3 linked regions of the Tribolium castaneum genome follow. The protein of the gene in region 3 binds, or shares a complex with, the protein of the main gene of each other region. Links are inferred from orthologs where the notes say so. Each region holds a gene or a part of one and is shown on either strand. Other genes may lie near its edges.

The links.
Region 1: Taf7 (region 3) and Taf5 share a complex: the UniProt entries of both Homo sapiens proteins name them as parts of the TFIID basal transcription factor complex. The link is inferred for Tribolium castaneum from reciprocal best matches to the Homo sapiens genes TAF7 and TAF5.
Region 2: Taf7 (region 3) and Taf11 share a complex: the UniProt entries of both Homo sapiens proteins name them as parts of the TFIID basal transcription factor complex. The link is inferred for Tribolium castaneum from reciprocal best matches to the Homo sapiens genes TAF7 and TAF11.

The regions. Positions count from the first base shown.
Region 1 is NC_087398.1:2,406,497-2,412,027, forward strand, and holds Taf5 (cannonball), read left to right. Parts: upstream 1-2,109; 5' UTR 2,110-2,173; coding exon 2,174-2,230; intron 2,231-2,273; coding exon 2,274-2,859; intron 2,860-2,905; coding exon 2,906-3,233; intron 3,234-3,284; coding exon 3,285-3,441; intron 3,442-3,894; coding exon 3,895-4,215; intron 4,216-4,269; coding exon 4,270-4,779; 3' UTR 4,780-4,832; downstream 4,833-5,531. Other genes in the region: JhI-21 (large neutral amino acids transporter small subunit 2), read left to right, coding at 1-21, 68-329, 372-514; heterochromatin protein 1, read right to left, coding at 773-1,312, 1,386-1,643. UniProt on the Homo sapiens protein: The TFIID basal transcription factor complex plays a major role in the initiation of RNA polymerase II (Pol II)-dependent transcription.
Region 2 is NC_087394.1:5,382,959-5,388,557, reverse strand, and holds Taf11 (transcription initiation factor TFIID subunit 11), read left to right. Parts: upstream 1-1,934; 5' UTR 1,935-2,362; coding exon 2,363-2,643; intron 2,644-2,686; coding exon 2,687-2,871; intron 2,872-5,351; coding exon 5,352-5,485; 3' UTR 5,486-5,535; downstream 5,536-5,599. UniProt on the Homo sapiens protein: The TFIID basal transcription factor complex plays a major role in the initiation of RNA polymerase II (Pol II)-dependent transcription.
Region 3 is NC_087394.1:13,419,330-13,424,780, reverse strand, and holds Taf7 (transcription initiation factor TFIID subunit 7), read left to right. Parts: upstream 1-2,301; 5' UTR 2,302-2,475; coding exon 2,476-3,591; 3' UTR 3,592-3,790; downstream 3,791-5,451. UniProt on the Homo sapiens protein: The TFIID basal transcription factor complex plays a major role in the initiation of RNA polymerase II (Pol II)-dependent transcription.

The sequences.
Region 1 (5,531 bases), on a different chromosome or scaffold from region 3:
ATACCCTCACTGATATTCACAGTAATGATCCCCCAAAGTTTAGCAATTTTTAATGCCCTATTTTTAGTGTGTAACCTCTTTAGCAATGCTTCTAGTCAGTGATGTCTTCGTTCTGATAAATTACTACGGACAAATATTATGGTTTTCTGTGGCGGCAAGCATTGCGGGAATGTTATGGCTGAGATACAAGCAACCCGATATGCCAAGGCCGATTAGAGTGAACATGAGTATCCCAATAATATTTTTGTTCTGTTGCGCGTTTCTTGTGATATTCCCCATACCCTCGCAGCCGTGGAACACAGTCATTGGAGTGGCCATCACGCTGTCAGGTACTTAATTACGGAATTTTGACAAAAATAACACATTTTTAGGCATCCCTGTGTATTATTTATGCGTCAAGTGGCAAAATAAACCGGAAAAATTCAACCAAACTTCGCGAAAATTGACGGAAATACTCCAGAGTATTATGAACGTGACTTCACCACAAGCGGAACAAACACTGTCCCATTCTTAATTTATTTCAATTGTAGGTTTATTTATAAAAATTATAATTTTTTACAGTGTCGTATTTGCAAAAATACCTGTATGGCAGTATAACATGACTGTTTCTTTCAATAACCAATGGTGTGAATATTTTCACGGTTTATTACAAAAAAAGAAACATGAAAAATGAACAATATCTTAATATAAAACACTGCAGGCGATAGAAAACTATTACGGAAAAAATTAACTGGAATCCTACCAAAATAAAGGATTTTCATGACGAAACAACTTAAGACTCATCGGGAGTATGCCAAGCGAGACGTTCCTCATAAAACTGAATAACAATTTGTGGACACTTGACGTTTGCTTCCTTAGCTGGGACTAAATCGGTCTCGTCGGTTCCCTTCCACTTCATCAGAAACATCAGCTGTCCTGTGGTGTCTGATGCTCCTATGATTTTCTCGGCTTGGTAGCCCCGTTCAAAGCCGACTTTTGATTTACTCTTGGATGAACTATCCTTCCCCTTTTCAGATTTCGACTCAGACTTTCGCTTTTTCTTGGATTTTTCGTCGTCATCGCCTTCTGATTTCTTCTTTTTCTTGGACTTATCCTCGTCGTCAGATGAGTCAGACTTGTTTTTACCATTTTCGTCGTCGGAATCTGCGTCTTTTTTTGAATTCTCTTTCTCGTCCGTGGAATCTGAACGACGGCGAGCTTTCTTCGACTTGGGCTCGCCGTCGGAGTCCTCCGTTTCAACCGCATGCTTCTTGGGCCTGCCTTTTGATTTCTTTTCAGACTTCTCTTCACCGTCCTTGGATTTTTTCTCTTTCTAGGGATACACAATTAAATAGATTTCGGGTCGAAGTGGGCTGGTTTTTGCTTGGCTTATCCAATAAACCCACCTTTTTTTTGTCACTATCCTCGTCCGCACTTTTCGTGGTGGAAGACCTCTTCGCCTTGGCTTTGCGCGACTTTTCAAATTCCGCTATGAGATCGGGACAATCGAGATTGTCTTCGGGTTCCCAAGTATTATCGTCTTCGCTATAACCTTTCCACTTGAGAAAATATTCGACCTTTCCGTTTACGACCCGCCGGTCGATAATTTTCTCAACTGAATATTCCTCCTCGCTCTCGCTGTCTTCTACCTTCTTTTTGCCCATTTCTGCAGTTTTGTTTGCGAATAACCGGTAAAGCGATGCTGACTGCGTACTTCTGGAACAATAAGTATTGCTTGCATTCAACTTCGTTACTAAAATGCTGACTAGTTAAGGTAGTGGATAATAATGCGATTGGAGCCGTTATTTACTTACTTTCAACTCTGGCTCTTAAAAAGCCACCACAAAACACCGCCGAAAAGATCCTTTTAATGGCGCTGGAAATATGGCGGGTGGCGGTTAAGAAAAAAATGGTGCCAACACAATTCAACCAATTAAAAATTGTCCAAAAACGACTCTCAGAGTTTTAAAAAATATAGCCAGGAGTTACAACTCTCATACTGCGCTCTCTGAATGAAGAGAAAATCGGATTGTTGCGAAATAAGCCTAGATTTTTTATAAATCGACGTTGAATGGCAGGCTTTAGGGAAATTTTGCGTTATTGATTGTTGTCATTTGCATTAAAGTGTGGTTAGGGAAACGTCAGTTTGTGTTGTATTTATTATTTTACGAGTTTATAAATGAGCGCCGAAGAAATGGAAAAATCTCAACTTGCAGCCGTTCTGCAAATTTTGAAAAAATACAATTTAAAGGTGAGCTTATGGCGAGTAAGCACAACGTAACATTTTTCATTAGGGCACTGAGGAGCTGCTACGAAAGGAGGCCAATCTCGGTAATAACATAGCTGATGGCCCTTTGCAACAAAATTCAGACGTTAGTAGCGTTCTGACGGGGTACAAGAGTGACGGAGATCCAGAAACCTATGAGGACTCTTACATGGAGTTAAAGCGTTTTGTTGAGGGCTCCCTTGACATTTACAAACACGAATTAGGCATGATTTTATACCCAGTTTTGGTCCACATGTACCTCGAATTGGTTTATAATGGACATACGGAGAAAGCGATAAACTTAATGAAAAAATTTGGCCCCGAACAAGACTCGTACTATCAGGAGGATCTCAGGAAGTTGGCTTTGGTCACAAAACGGGACCATATGAACGGGAACGAATTGACAGACACCTTCAAATCAAACCAGTTTATTATTCGAATGTCGCGTGACACTTTGTCACTTTTAAAACGTCACTTAAACGACAAAAAAGCGTCAGTTTTGCTGAACATCATCCAGGAACATCTCTACTTTGATATGTACGAAGGCGTAGCGAGGAACAAAAGCCAGATTGATGCCACGTCAGGTGCCGTTGGGGGAGAGGCAAAACGACAAGGTTCATTTTCGTTATCATAATTACAATAAACACATCAAAATTCCAGATAATAAAACCAAAGTCTATTACGGCATCCCCAAAGCCCCCGACATTCAGGCACTAGCAGCGCCAGTCGAAGACGAGGACGAAGGCGGCGAACAGGACAATCCGGACAAACCTAAGAAGAAAAAAGCCAAAAAAGACCCACTTTTCTCGAAAAAAACAAAAAATGACCCAAACGCTCCACCGCCTGATAGAATTCCAGTCCCGGACATGAGAGACCACGATAAGTACGAAAAAGTGAAGGCGTACAGAGAGGCCTCAAAGAGAGTTACGTTAGGCCCGGATTACCTCCCTTCAGTTTGTTGTTACACCTTACTTAACGCCAATCACACGTTAGTTGAGTTTATTCAGTGAAAATATTTTCTTTATCGGGGGTTTTTTAGGGTTAATTGTGCTGAAATCACCGAAGATTCGAGTATGCTGGCGGTGGGTTTCAGCGATTCAATTGTTAAAGTCTGGACACTTGTGCCTCAAAAACTGAAGGCTATGAAAAGTGGGGAGCAGCTGGAGGATGTCAATGTTGACGTAGAGGATGTCGTGGTAATGTTACATTTTTTTTTAATAATGAAATCGATAAAGTACATGAAAAAATATATAATCAATCAAAATTAAACGATAAGTAAAACTAAATCAGTAATTTCGATTACAATTTTTTGTTCAGAAAAGACTTTTATTATTACTACAAAAGTAATCACTCATTTTTTTAATACAACATTAAATATATTCAAAGTTAAGTTGAGATTTTAGTTTTCGCCCCCATCAAGTCGATAAAGTAGACACCGACTTAAATTAATCGACTACTTGAATAAATAGCGATAAAAATAGGTCGTTGCCGTGTGGAAACCGTCAACATGTTTAAAATCGCAAAATAAATGACTGGAAGGTGTATCATTTTTATTCATTTAAACAGTGTACTTAAAGAAATCTGCCAAGATAGCAACTTATCTGTCATCTTGGCCAGGTTCCAAAAACTTACATGTTTTCAACATGCAGGTGAGAATGATGGATGAAAGGTCCGGTGAGACTTCCAGATCGCTTTACGGCCATTCAGGGCCTGTTTACTCGGTATCATTTTCCCCAGACAAGACTCTCCTTATCAGTTGTTCGGAAGACACAACAATAAGATTATGGTCGTTGCAAATATGGACTTGTCTGGTGGTCTACAAAGGACACATGTTCCCCGTTTGGGACGTCAAATTCTCTCCCTTGGGCTATTACTTCGCTTCGGCGTCGTACGACCGCACTGCGCGACTTTGGGCCACCGACCATTACCAACCGTTGCGATTATTTGCCGGTCATTTCTCCGACGTCGATGTAAAAATTATCAATTTTTTTTTAATATTTTTTTACAGAAATTATTAATTGTAGTGCGTCCAGTTTCACCCAAATTCCAATTACGTTGCGACCGGTTCCAGCGACCGCCGCGTCTGTTTGTGGGATTGTACGACGGGAAATCATGTCCGACTTATGACTGGGCATAAATCGCCCATAATGTCTTTGGCGTTCAGTGTTTGTGGGCGGTTTTTGGCTTCCGCGGGGGTGGATTGTAAAGTGTTGGTTTGGGACTTGTCCCATGGACACTTGGTTGCAGAACTCACCGGGCATGAGAAGCCCATCCATGCACTTGCTTTCAGCAGATGCGGGAATATTCTAGTTTCAGGAGGGTTGGACTGTTTGCTCAAAGTTTGGGATTTTACCAAACTGACTGAGGAAATCAGCTCGGAGGAAGTAAATGTGTCGCATAATCCCGATGTGAGGATCGGGGATGATTATTTATTGAGGAGTTTTGCGACGAAGAGCTCGCCATTGATCAGCCTTCACTTTACGAGGAGGAATTTGCTATTGGCTGTTAGCATGTTTGATGGTGTTAGCACTTAGTTTATTGTAATGTGTATTATTTACCTTGATAAGAAATAAATTTTTTAACGATTTTTTTGGGGTTTGGTTTATGAATCGCTTGAAATAACACTAAAATGTTAAAATAGAATTCCGAGTTGAAAATAAACAGTGTCAACAACATTAAAAATGTTTGCCAGGACTTTTGCCAAAAACATTCATAATTTCTCTATGACGAATCAAACATTTTTATAATTAATATTCACACCGATAAAGTCGGTTATTCAATACTTGAAAAGAAAAAAGTAATGGTCTTGTACGTCGAAGTAATTACTTTGGTTGAACAGACGTATTTTTGGCGTCCAATCAAGAATAATATAAACAAGGATTTATTTTCGAAACAAATTTGTTGTGATAGAAAATTAATATCGTTACAAATTTTTACGCTTTGACTGGTTGTTAAAAAACAAAATAAATGTTAAGGTGCTTGTTTTAACTTTTATTTGAATTAATGTACATGTTTGTAGCTTGTTTTGTTGCGTTTGAAATTAATTTATTTGTGAATAACGTTACCTAAAAATTAGGCAAAGGATATGAAATTATTCATTAAGCCAATGTACAGGGTGAGTCTGCTAAAAGTATTATTTACAAATATACTATTTCAAAAGTATTAATTACTTTTTTTCTATACATGTAATTTTTTCCGAATATTTCTCCCTTTTCGTTATAATTAAAATTAATAAGACACCGTATGTGGAACTACGGCAGGGCCCGAAATGCCCAAAAAATCCAGC
Region 2 (5,599 bases), about 8.0 Mb from region 3:
TTCAAATGTTGTTTCGTGTTAAAAATCATTAAAAAATTTGAAATACACGTAATTTTGGTGCTAGCAAAAATTTTTGTAAGAGTTTCTTTCTCGAAAACATCATTTCATATTTTTAATTTTATTGATATTAACATCCTTGATTAATTAATTTTAATTAGAAGAAAGGGTAAAATTTTTGAAAAAAAAAAACACAGACATAGAGAAAGAAAAATTTCTCGTAAAAGTAAACGCTTATCAAATATTTAAGCAAAAAAAACACAAAAAAAATAATTGCTGTGAAGCCTAATAAAGAAGTTCAAATTCGGTTAAATCACTAATAGTTTTTTCATATATTTTTTAAATAGAAAAAAGAATTATAATTTTATAATTATAATTTATTAAAAGAGCTTAGTTTCTTAAAATCCTTCAACTTATATAACTCATAAGATGTGTTTTCTTCACTAACGTTGCTTTATTTTAATTTAAATCTGAGGAATTTCCACATATTAATAATAATAACAGAAATATAACTTGAGAAAGTCATAGCTGGAACAACCTGTATATGATTCATGCAAAAAATTATAGACAGTTCTCTCAACAACTGGAAAAACAGTTAATTAACCGACATGCAATGTCCATCACCTGATCGGTAATTTATTTAAAACGGTTCAAAACAAAGAACAATGCAACAACAAAAAACCGACCTCATCCCAAACATTTAAAACGCAACTTATTAAACCAAACATTAATTCATTCTGTGACGGAAATTAATTAAATTTGTTGTGTGGGTGTAAAAAATCAATATCAATTAACTCCGATTTATAATTAGTACAAAATGTCTCGTCCCATCTTATTGTTTTTTTTTTCTTTCACGAAAATTGCATCTGAAACCTTTCACATAAAGCTTTATAGATTTTCCCCTTTTCAGTAGCAATAACACTGACGTTTATTTCTACAGTCCCGACAAACTTTACGATTTTCGTTTTTCTTCTGCAATGTGCACTTAGCTCTCGTGCAATTTTACATCCCCAATTCCCACCGTACGAACTTTATGCACCTGCTGTAAATTTTCATCCCTTTTACACAGCTCCCACCAGTCTGTTTCTTTCATTTTTAATAAGTCTGGCGAGGGGCAATTCCGCTAATGGTAAGACTGTTTGATATACAAAAATCGAAAATAATCAAATATTTTTTTTGCTCTGCATCAACATCTATTATTACTACGTATCGCTACGTAGAAACAATCATCTTATTTACGAAAAGTTATACATAATACAAAAAAAAAATTGTACCTAACTCGCAATTCATGCAGCACTCGCTAGGCTCGTGCCGTAAATCACCAATATCCCACCTAACATTTTGTGCAGTTAATAGTAGTTTATTTGAAGTCTCACAAAAAAGAAATTTCGAAAGATAACTTGTATTATAAAGAAGTTGTGTGCTACAAATATGTCCCCAGGTCAAAGTTTGTAATTTTATTATTTTCTAAATTAATCAATAAATGTTTCATTTAATAACTGTTGTCATAAGCAGGGGTGGCCAAAATTAAGTAATAGATCTAAATAATTTTAAAAAAACTTTAGGTACTTGTGACCCTTGAAGTCCCCACAAATTGTAGCAAATAACTGAGCATTTTTTCAGGGAAATAATCTAAACGTGGAATCGCGACTCACCTTCTTGGTTTAGCGGGGTAATGGTGGTGGTTGAAGTGGGAGCCAGTGCAAGAAAATTGGGGCACAGCAAGCCCCATCCAACGCTCTAAGGCCCCCTGCGTGCAGTCGGCGAGCACCTGCGTGAAAAAATTCAAAATAGCCACAATTTCGTGCCTTTCCAAGCGTTCCCAGCTAACGGTTTCGCACACAATGCTGTGGACGCTTGGGTGATCAAGGGGGCTCCAGGCCCGATTTGACATTTTGACAGTTGTCATCCAGCAAACAAAAGCCACCAACTGGGATACTTACAACGTGATTTTGTTGCCAAATTCGTACGATTATCACACTAGAACATTGTCAAAAGCGGTTAATTGCGAATTAACTGGTCCCGCAATAAAACAACGAAAAAAAAGCGTTTTTGTGTCGTTCACCGCGACGAATCGACCCGACACGTTATCACAATTTTTATCACTGCGAATTGGGCCTCAAACTCGAGAGAAATTCATCGTTTCATTTACTTCGCCTTATTTTACACACAATAAACAAAATTATTGTCAAATATGAGTGTGATATATTGACTGGAATTTGACACTGGCGCCACCTCAGATTTGCACGGAACTACAGAACTACCAGTAGAGGGAGCAGCGATCGCTCATTTTTTCTGTCAAAATTAACACATAACCTTACTTCATTTCCAAAAAAATAAATAGATAATGTGAAAAAAAGACACAATGGACAACATTTTTGCGAAACCTCCAGCCTCCACGAGTCAAATCATCAAAGCTGACCCCAACTACGAGTCCATGGACGAAGACGACGACTCCACTGTGGAGACAGTCAAAGTCGAGGAGACCCAGCTCACGTCTGAAATTCACATCAAAGACGAAGAAAATGTGTACCTGGAGTCGGATATAATAATGCCGGAAGCCCCTCAAAGTAGCAGCGCTCCGGCTAAGAAGAAAGAGGTGAAGACTAGGAAGGAGATGGAGGAGGAAGAGCGCGAGAAAATGCAGTAAGTTGGTGTAAAGTGGGGTTTACTGAGGGTTTGTTGTAAGGGTTCTAGTCTCGAATTTCACCGAGGATCAGCTGGATCGATATGAGATGTACAGGAGGTCGGCGTTTCCCAAAGCTGCAATTAAAAGGCTGATGCAGACGATTACAGGGTGTTCTGTTTCCCAGAATGTGGTCATTGCTATGGCTGGGATTGCCAAGGTCTTTGTTGGAGAGGTTGTGGAGGAAGGTGAGGATAATTCAAAAAAATATTTTTTTTATTTTCTCTATTACACCAAAACTATTCGAAAATGTGGAATTATTTTGGTCTAAGCCTATGTAAAATGATCCGAGGAATCGATGGGCGCCGAGAAAATCTCCAAATTCCCAATAGTTTTTTAGTTATGATTTTTTTAAGTATTAACCAGACAGCTTTCCAATGAAATTACGTCTAATAGTTTAATTTTTTTTATTTTTGTGAAGATAAGTGCCTTGACCACTAAAATTATGGTAAATTTTAGTTGACAATTGAGACCATCAGCTCGAGATTGAAAATACATTCGGAAGCTCAAATAACGTGAAAATACGTATTAACAACTTTTTTCTACAGTTGCCACTGCTTAAAGCACTCTTTAAGCTGTAAATTTATTATTATTTTTTTGATTAATTCAAAAGAAGTCGATACGAAAAAGCTTACACACCTCTTTCCGGCAGTGGTGTCACTCTAAAAAATTAGTAAAACAGTCCAAAGACTTAGAAATGTCAAACTCTTTTTTTGTGTGCAAAAAAAATCAAACATGTAAGTATTTGTGTAATTAATTATTACGCTCGATAAGACTTTCTTTATGGAATAGTGGTCTAACGAACCATTGCACTGTGGACTATGTAAAAAGTAAAAAAAATAACTATGTAAAATTACAAAAAAGTTAATTCCCTATTTTTTTTAAAATGCCCTTTTGGTTTAGCGAAGAACAGGAAAAAAACATCAATTTGAAGAGTTATAAAAAATTGTCTTGGAGCCGTGCTTTGAAATTTTAGGTCGCAGTTAAACAAAAGTTCTAAGATTATAATTTTGAAAAAAATTTTTCTTTTCTGTGCCCTACTGTTACAATAAAAAACCGATAATAAATAATAAATTCAAGACAATTGGTCGCCTCTAACAATATTTTTAAATAGCAAACAGATATGAGTAAGGAAATGGCAGTAAAAAACAATAAATCATAAACTAGAAGATTTTTCTAAAAGCTTTTTTTGTTTTTGCCCATTTGCCTATTAAGTGCCAATTTTTAAGTTTTTTTAATTTTTGAGTTAAAAGTTGCAACGTCGTAAATTAAAAAAACAAACTTAAACAAACAATGTACAATATTTCTAAATGCCCTTCGTTTTCAGATCAATGATGAATCTATTTTTTTTGATAAAGTCTCAATTGACATATTTTTAAATACAGTACTACTAGAAAAATCATTCTTTGTCACTGTACAATCACATTTTTGCTCACTAATACTCATTTACGTAATTAAAAAATAACTAGGAGCATTGCCGATTTTATAACTCAAGTCGGAGGCAAAATCTATACGTTAAAGATATGAAAATGACATAATAATTATTCCCAATTGTTATCTATCTATCCTGTTACTTTTCACGTTTATTCTATTTAAAGTAATGAAGCCTTTTGCGTTACATTCTGTCAGTAAGGTTTCGTTATATCACGGAATTTATTCCGTTTTTTGCAATTTTCTTAAGATTTGAGTATTACTTAAGACTTGTATTAGGTAAATTTAATTAAACTTGCACAAATTCAGATTTTTATTCCTGTTTAATTTGATGCTTAACAATGTAAAATAAATAATAATTTAATTCGGATTAGTTTAATTTTTTATTACCAAAATTTCATTCACTTTCTGCAATGAAGTCTTACGACTTCTTATTAAATAAATGACACCCACTTTTGTTGTAATTAGTGAGTTTTAAACCACTTTGTTATTACTGTTACGAATAACTAACACAAAACTTACAATTGTTTTTTTAACGGATCCAAGACCACTTTTCAATTGTCGTTACGTGACATCAACTCTGAAATGTATTCTAATAACGAAAAAATGCACACAATTGTTTTAATTAATTAGATCATTCATACGTCCGGGGTATCTTATCTTCTTGTAAATATTAATAGTTCTAGTGCTCTAATTGAGTAAAGAAATTAGTAGACATTTTCGAACTTACTCAATGATTTAAGAAAAGTTTGACATCGGTTTTTATGTTTCTTTTTTTGTCTACATATTCCAGATAATTTCATTTAGATACAGTGAAACCTCTAATATTGAATAATTTGAGAGTAAAAATTTTTTAACAGTTTTAACTTTAATTCTAAAAATTCATGTCGCAAAGCATTTTAATATTGTCATTAATAATTGTAAATATTTGTAAAAAAGGCAAACAAAATCTATTTTTGGAGATGCATTAGTACCTACCTTCCCTGCCAAGCCTGGAAAAATCTGTAAAAAATGTTGATGCACCGTTGCAGTGATATCGTCACGCTGGAATATTTATTTAAAGATTGTTGAAAGGAAATTTTAAGTCACTATTTACAAACAAAATTGATAGTTTTGAACTTATGACCGCCAGAAGCTCAATCATTTGGATAATCATTTCCGTCATAAAAACCTCACCAAATTAAAACCAGATGACTCGTCCCGACCTTGCATTCGTAACCAAACCCTCATTTTCCAGCTTTGGACGTAATGGAAGAACAATCGGAGTCGGGCCCTTTGCAGCCCAAGCACCTGCGGGAAGCCGTCCGGAGGATGCGCCTCCAGGGGGCCATCCCCAGCGGAAGAGACTACAGGTCACACTTCCGCCTCTAGACTTACGCTTTGAATTATTTTTAGACGTAATAAACCTTTTTCTATTTTAATGTTGCTTTACTTACGAACAAGCCCCGCATTATCGGCCGGGAGTGGGAAGCAGAGGCCAACGAC
Region 3 (5,451 bases):
CGAATAATACAAAATTATTGTTTGAAAAAAAATCACAACTATTCCAAAGCTCTGTGAAGTGAAATCAACAAGTACACAAAACTACACATAGTAGTGGTGCCCCAACAATCCATCTTTTGTAAATTTAAGGATCTCTTTAATAAAATATCACAAAAAATTATCACTGACCCAATAATTTTTATGGTAAAAACGGTCTTTATTAGCAGATTCAAGAAGTCAGCTGTAATTTATTTTTCTTCTTTGTTATAATTTTTCCTTTTGATGTGTATATAGGGTGAGTTTGATAAAAATACTACCCCAAAAACTAACCACAAAGAAGTTAGCGGTTGATGTTAATTGCTTTATTCTTTCTCTATGAATGTGAATTTTTTAGATTTTTTTTACAATATCTTATAATTAAAAATAATTAAATAACATATTAAGTCGGTGAAAACATATAGGTAGGTACTATATTTTTTATTATTTATTATTATTATTACTATTTTTTAACAAAGAAATGATGCTCAAAATGTTTGCAAAAAGGACGTAATTAAGTTGTTTAACCGTTATTAATAGAGTTCTAACTTGAGTATTGCAAAGTAATGGCAAGTTAGTAAGAATACTAAGAATTAATCAATTACTAGTTGACTACTAGACTAATTTGTATTAAATTACCTTATACGTTGCAGCTAGAAGTCAAATTAATTGGGAATTCGAATTTAATTACAATTAAATTTAGGCTTTAAATTGTGAGATACACAGCCAGTGACATTGTTTAAGTAATTTTTGCACATAACAACAATAAAGCATAACAAAAAGTAGCAAAGGGTATTTGCAAAATTACCTACACATGTATGGAGAAATAAGTTCTGATGGTAATAATTTTCGTAAAATACTAAAATATTTAAAACTATGCAATGTTTGCCTTTACTTTAAATTTTTGAATTACAGTTAAAAACTATTATTACTTTTTAAAAATGGGAAAAAATCGAAAATGCAATATATTACTACTTTTTTATAGTGGTAGCTGAGAATCTAATCTCTATTATTACTATTATTAGTGCCTGTCTAGTTTAAACATTAATCTATATTTTTCATTTAAATTTCGTAAAGTAGAATGGATTCACAATATTAGAAGTTGAGCAAAAAAATCTTGAATGAATCTTGATCATAATTATGTAAAAAAAAACATATATGTATTTTAACTATTTACGTAAACATTAATCTGCTTTTTAGTAATGTAATATCTATTCCGGTTTTTGTCTCTCAAAGTTAGTTGTTATTAATTTATTATTCATGCACTTCAATAACTTAATAGCTAATGTAATTTGGAGTTCCAGTGACAGATACAGATCTAATAATAATAATTAACAACTTGGTATTTTACATTTTTATAAACGTTATTTAAAAAAAATATTCAGTAAATTGCTTTATTGGCATTTTATTGAGTTGGAATGACAAGTATCTAATCTAGGTACAAAAAAATCAAAAAACATCTCATTGTTTTTTGTTGGTTTAAGATCATTGTTTGATGTATTATGTTTATTTGAATGTTTTTAAGATGTACAACTTATAATAAATAATTGATGCTGATTATATACAAGAGTTATTAATATTATACAAGACGATAAAAAGATTGTTTATGTACAAGTGGAAAAGTTTAGTTTAAGGGTGACGAAGTCACGAGTAAACTTATTCCATAAATTACAACAGCGCATTTGAATTTTCCGGAGTGAGAAATAAAGCACAAATTGAGAGTTTCGGTAAAGGAAAAGAATTCTGTGTTAAACTAAATCCCAGCGACACGTTTCGAGCTAAGAAAGCCAACCAGAAACTCCAAAAATTACAAATGCGCTGTTGCAAAATTCTATTATGAATTGAAATGAGATATAGAAAAAATGCATTTTCAAATAAATTAAATCAAACAAAACAAAGTTTTTCGGATTTTTATAGACGCCAATCCGAAACTTATTCAGAATCCGAAATCAAGTAACTAAAATTAATATTGAACAGAACACGCCACTTTCTAGCCCTCAGTGAAATAACAAAATTTTTAATTCCAAAATATTTAACGACTTGGCCATTATTTTGTAAAATCATACTGTTAGGTAAAAAGTTATTTACTGTCCCGCCAAATTCAATGTGGCCACTTACAAACAATTAAAGAAACACTGTCAGACAATAAATATTTCAAATATTTCAAGAAAAAACAGATAAATGATAAATAACCTACGCCACTGACTTAAAGTCTTAGCATGCAGCGCCACCAGTACTCCACTTCCCCCAACCAACAGATACACCCACGGCCGATAAATCAGAAAACCACTTAGCATACCTAACCTCCACAACTCACAAACATAACCTCAACCGTCAACAAATAAAAGTTTGTCATTTTTAGCAATTAAAATATGGTGTTGTTACATTTACATTAAGTTTAAAATTCGTGTCAAATCCACTTTTGTATTAATTTAAGCCCCAATTATTGAAAAAAAAAAAATGTACAAAGGGGGCCACGAACCCGATTCACCTGCAGAACTCGAATGCCAGTTCATTTTACGTCTACCGGAAGAACCAGCCCGTGTCCTTCGCGAAGCCATCCGAAACAACAGCACCCTCAAAGACAGGGTGGCCATCAAAATAGAAAATGACATGCGACATGGTGAAGTCCGAATCGACCACTGGCTTTTACCAGCTAAAGTTATGGACCTTCCCACTATTATCGAGTCCCTTAAAACTATTGATTCGAAAGGTTTCTACAAAACAGCCGATATTTGCCAAATGCTCATATGTAAGGAAGAGGACGACCAAACGACTACTGATGAAGAGTCCCCACAAAAGTCGAAACGTAAAGACCCCAACAAAGTGGAGAAAAAATATCTGATGCCACACGGGATCACACCACCGACGAAAAACGTAAGGAAGCGACGATTCCGCAAGACTTTGAAGAAGAAATACGTGGAAGCCCCCGAAATAGAGAAGGAAGTCAAAAGATTGTTAAGGATAGACAATGATGCAGTTAGTGTTAAATGGGAGGTTATCAACGAAGACGACGAAAACAAAGTCAACAAAGGCACCGTGGTGAAGAAGGAACCTGCAGAAGCCCCCAATCAGAACGTGGCCGAACATGATATTTTCGGGGGGGCTGTGAGTGACTCAGAGGAGGAGGACGCCCACCTTAACGTATTGGAACTGGACGACAATAGTCAGAACTCGGCCGAAGACAGCCACCTGACTGACTCCAACTCAATGATGATCAATACCGCAAACTCAAAATTGTTGACAGAATTCACCAGTGATATGTTCAACGAAATGCAAAATTCCCCCTCTTTGATGCAAGAAATGGACTATTATCAGCAGTCATCCAGCAATATTTCCTACACAGAGCAGAATTTGAGTAAGAGTAATATTTTGGCGAGGCTTGAAGAGCTGCAGTTGGAGTTGGATAATTTGAAAATGAGGAGGCAACACCAGGAAATGGAAATTGAAAATATTGAGAATTTGGCGCTGAGACAACGCTTTCAGAATATTTTGGATAGGCTTCTGCAGGAGCAAATCGAGAAGGAACAGGAGAAATACGGGTTGGAGGAGCTTCTGAAGCAGCACCCAGAGTAGTATTGGAGTGGTTAAAAAATCGTATTTTGTAATTTTAGGTCCAAAAAGGGGTTATAGTGAAGTGTTTCTTGTAAGCGTATCAATGTTAGATTAATTAAAAAATCTGTTTTATTCGATTTTAATTGTGTAAATTTCTATAGATAATTATTTTTTATGAATAGGGCACAATTTAGAAAATAAACAACTTTATCGGCAAAAACTATACTTATTTTTAGTTTGTATTAGTCTCCATCATCAAGTCTATTTCAGGGACACTCATTATATCCCATTTCAGTTCATAGTAGAATTGCAACAGCGCATTTGATTTTTTGGAGTGAAAATAAAGCACAAATTGAGAATTTCTGTATAAGAAAAAAAATTCTGAGTTAAACCAAATTCCAGCGCCACACTTTGAGCTAAGAAAACCTAGCAGAAGCTCTCAATTTATGCTCCATTTCACTCAAAAAATTGCAAATGCGTTGTTGCAAAATTCTACTACGATCTGAAATGAGATATACATTTTTTTATTGCAAATCATAAAGTAAAATAACACGTTTCCTTATTTACCAGTATATAACAAGAAAATAAGTAAATTATTTAATAAATCATACTAATGCTCATTGCATTTTTAATCTGAGTTCAGCCTCAATTATAAAGACTCGTAAAGAAAAACTATCAATATTTATTTCAAAATTATAAAAAAAAACGGCAATAGTGTATTTAATTTTTTTTGGGTCAAATAGGTGACAAATTAACACTTTTTGGGTTTTCGTGCGATTTTGTTTTAAAATGAACTCTAGTGTTCTAGTGATCAGTTTAGTGCCAACAAAAGCCCCTAATTAAAAGAGAAAACCAAATGTGAAAAGTTGCAGTTGTTTTTATTATGCATAGTCTTTAAACATATATTTATTACTTTTGTTTTTACTTATACTATAATACAAATTATAATTCTTCTATTCACTATCGCTTCTGCTTTTTCATATAATAGTAACCAACACTGTCACTGACTTTTCTACGGACTGTTTATAAAAGAGTGTAGGGTCTCAGGTCGTTCTGGAATTTGAATTTCCCGCTTTTCTATGAAATTTCTGAAAAGTACCAATTTTTATCTACTCAGACAACCAGTAAAGCCAAATTTTTCATATACTAACATTGTTCATTTGTTCTGGAAGAAGAAAACGACAAACTTTTAATACCTACCACGATTCTACATTCATTTATAGACAGACAGATTGTATAAATTATTCAACATTTTTTTTAAAAATCTCTTACTGTGGATTGTGGGTAAGTATTAAAAAAATCAAGATGGCTATTATTATGTTCTGAAAGTGGCTCCTTTATATTGTTTTTGTTAACACTTTCAGAAAAAATCAAAAGCTGATGTATCTTTTATACACGACTCAAATATCTTTTTCGGATAGTATTCAGTAAAAATGAATTATTTCCTTATTACAAATGACAAAGAAAATTATACATTTCTTCGAAAATTTAAAAGTAAAATATTATTTAATTTTTACCGCGAATAAATTGAATTTGAAAGATAGGTGGCTGAAAATGTTTGGTTGGTTACTGTCATTTTTATAATAAACAAAAAAAAACGATCTGAAGATTGTCGCATTTTTTTAAGTTTGCGATTATTTAACTGTTTTTGGAAAAAAATGAGAGATTCAGAAGAAGACAACGTTCTAGAGTGTATTGAAGCTGCTGCACAAAAGGCCGTCTCAAGTTTAATCCCCCAGAAATCCCACGTCGCTTACAAGACAACATAAAAATCGTTGCAAAATAAAAGTCCCTATTAGCTCGAGTGCGCAAAAGTAGCTCATTTTAGCACTCAAAATGATGACAAAATGTCGTGATATTGATTCAAAATAGTAAAATAGT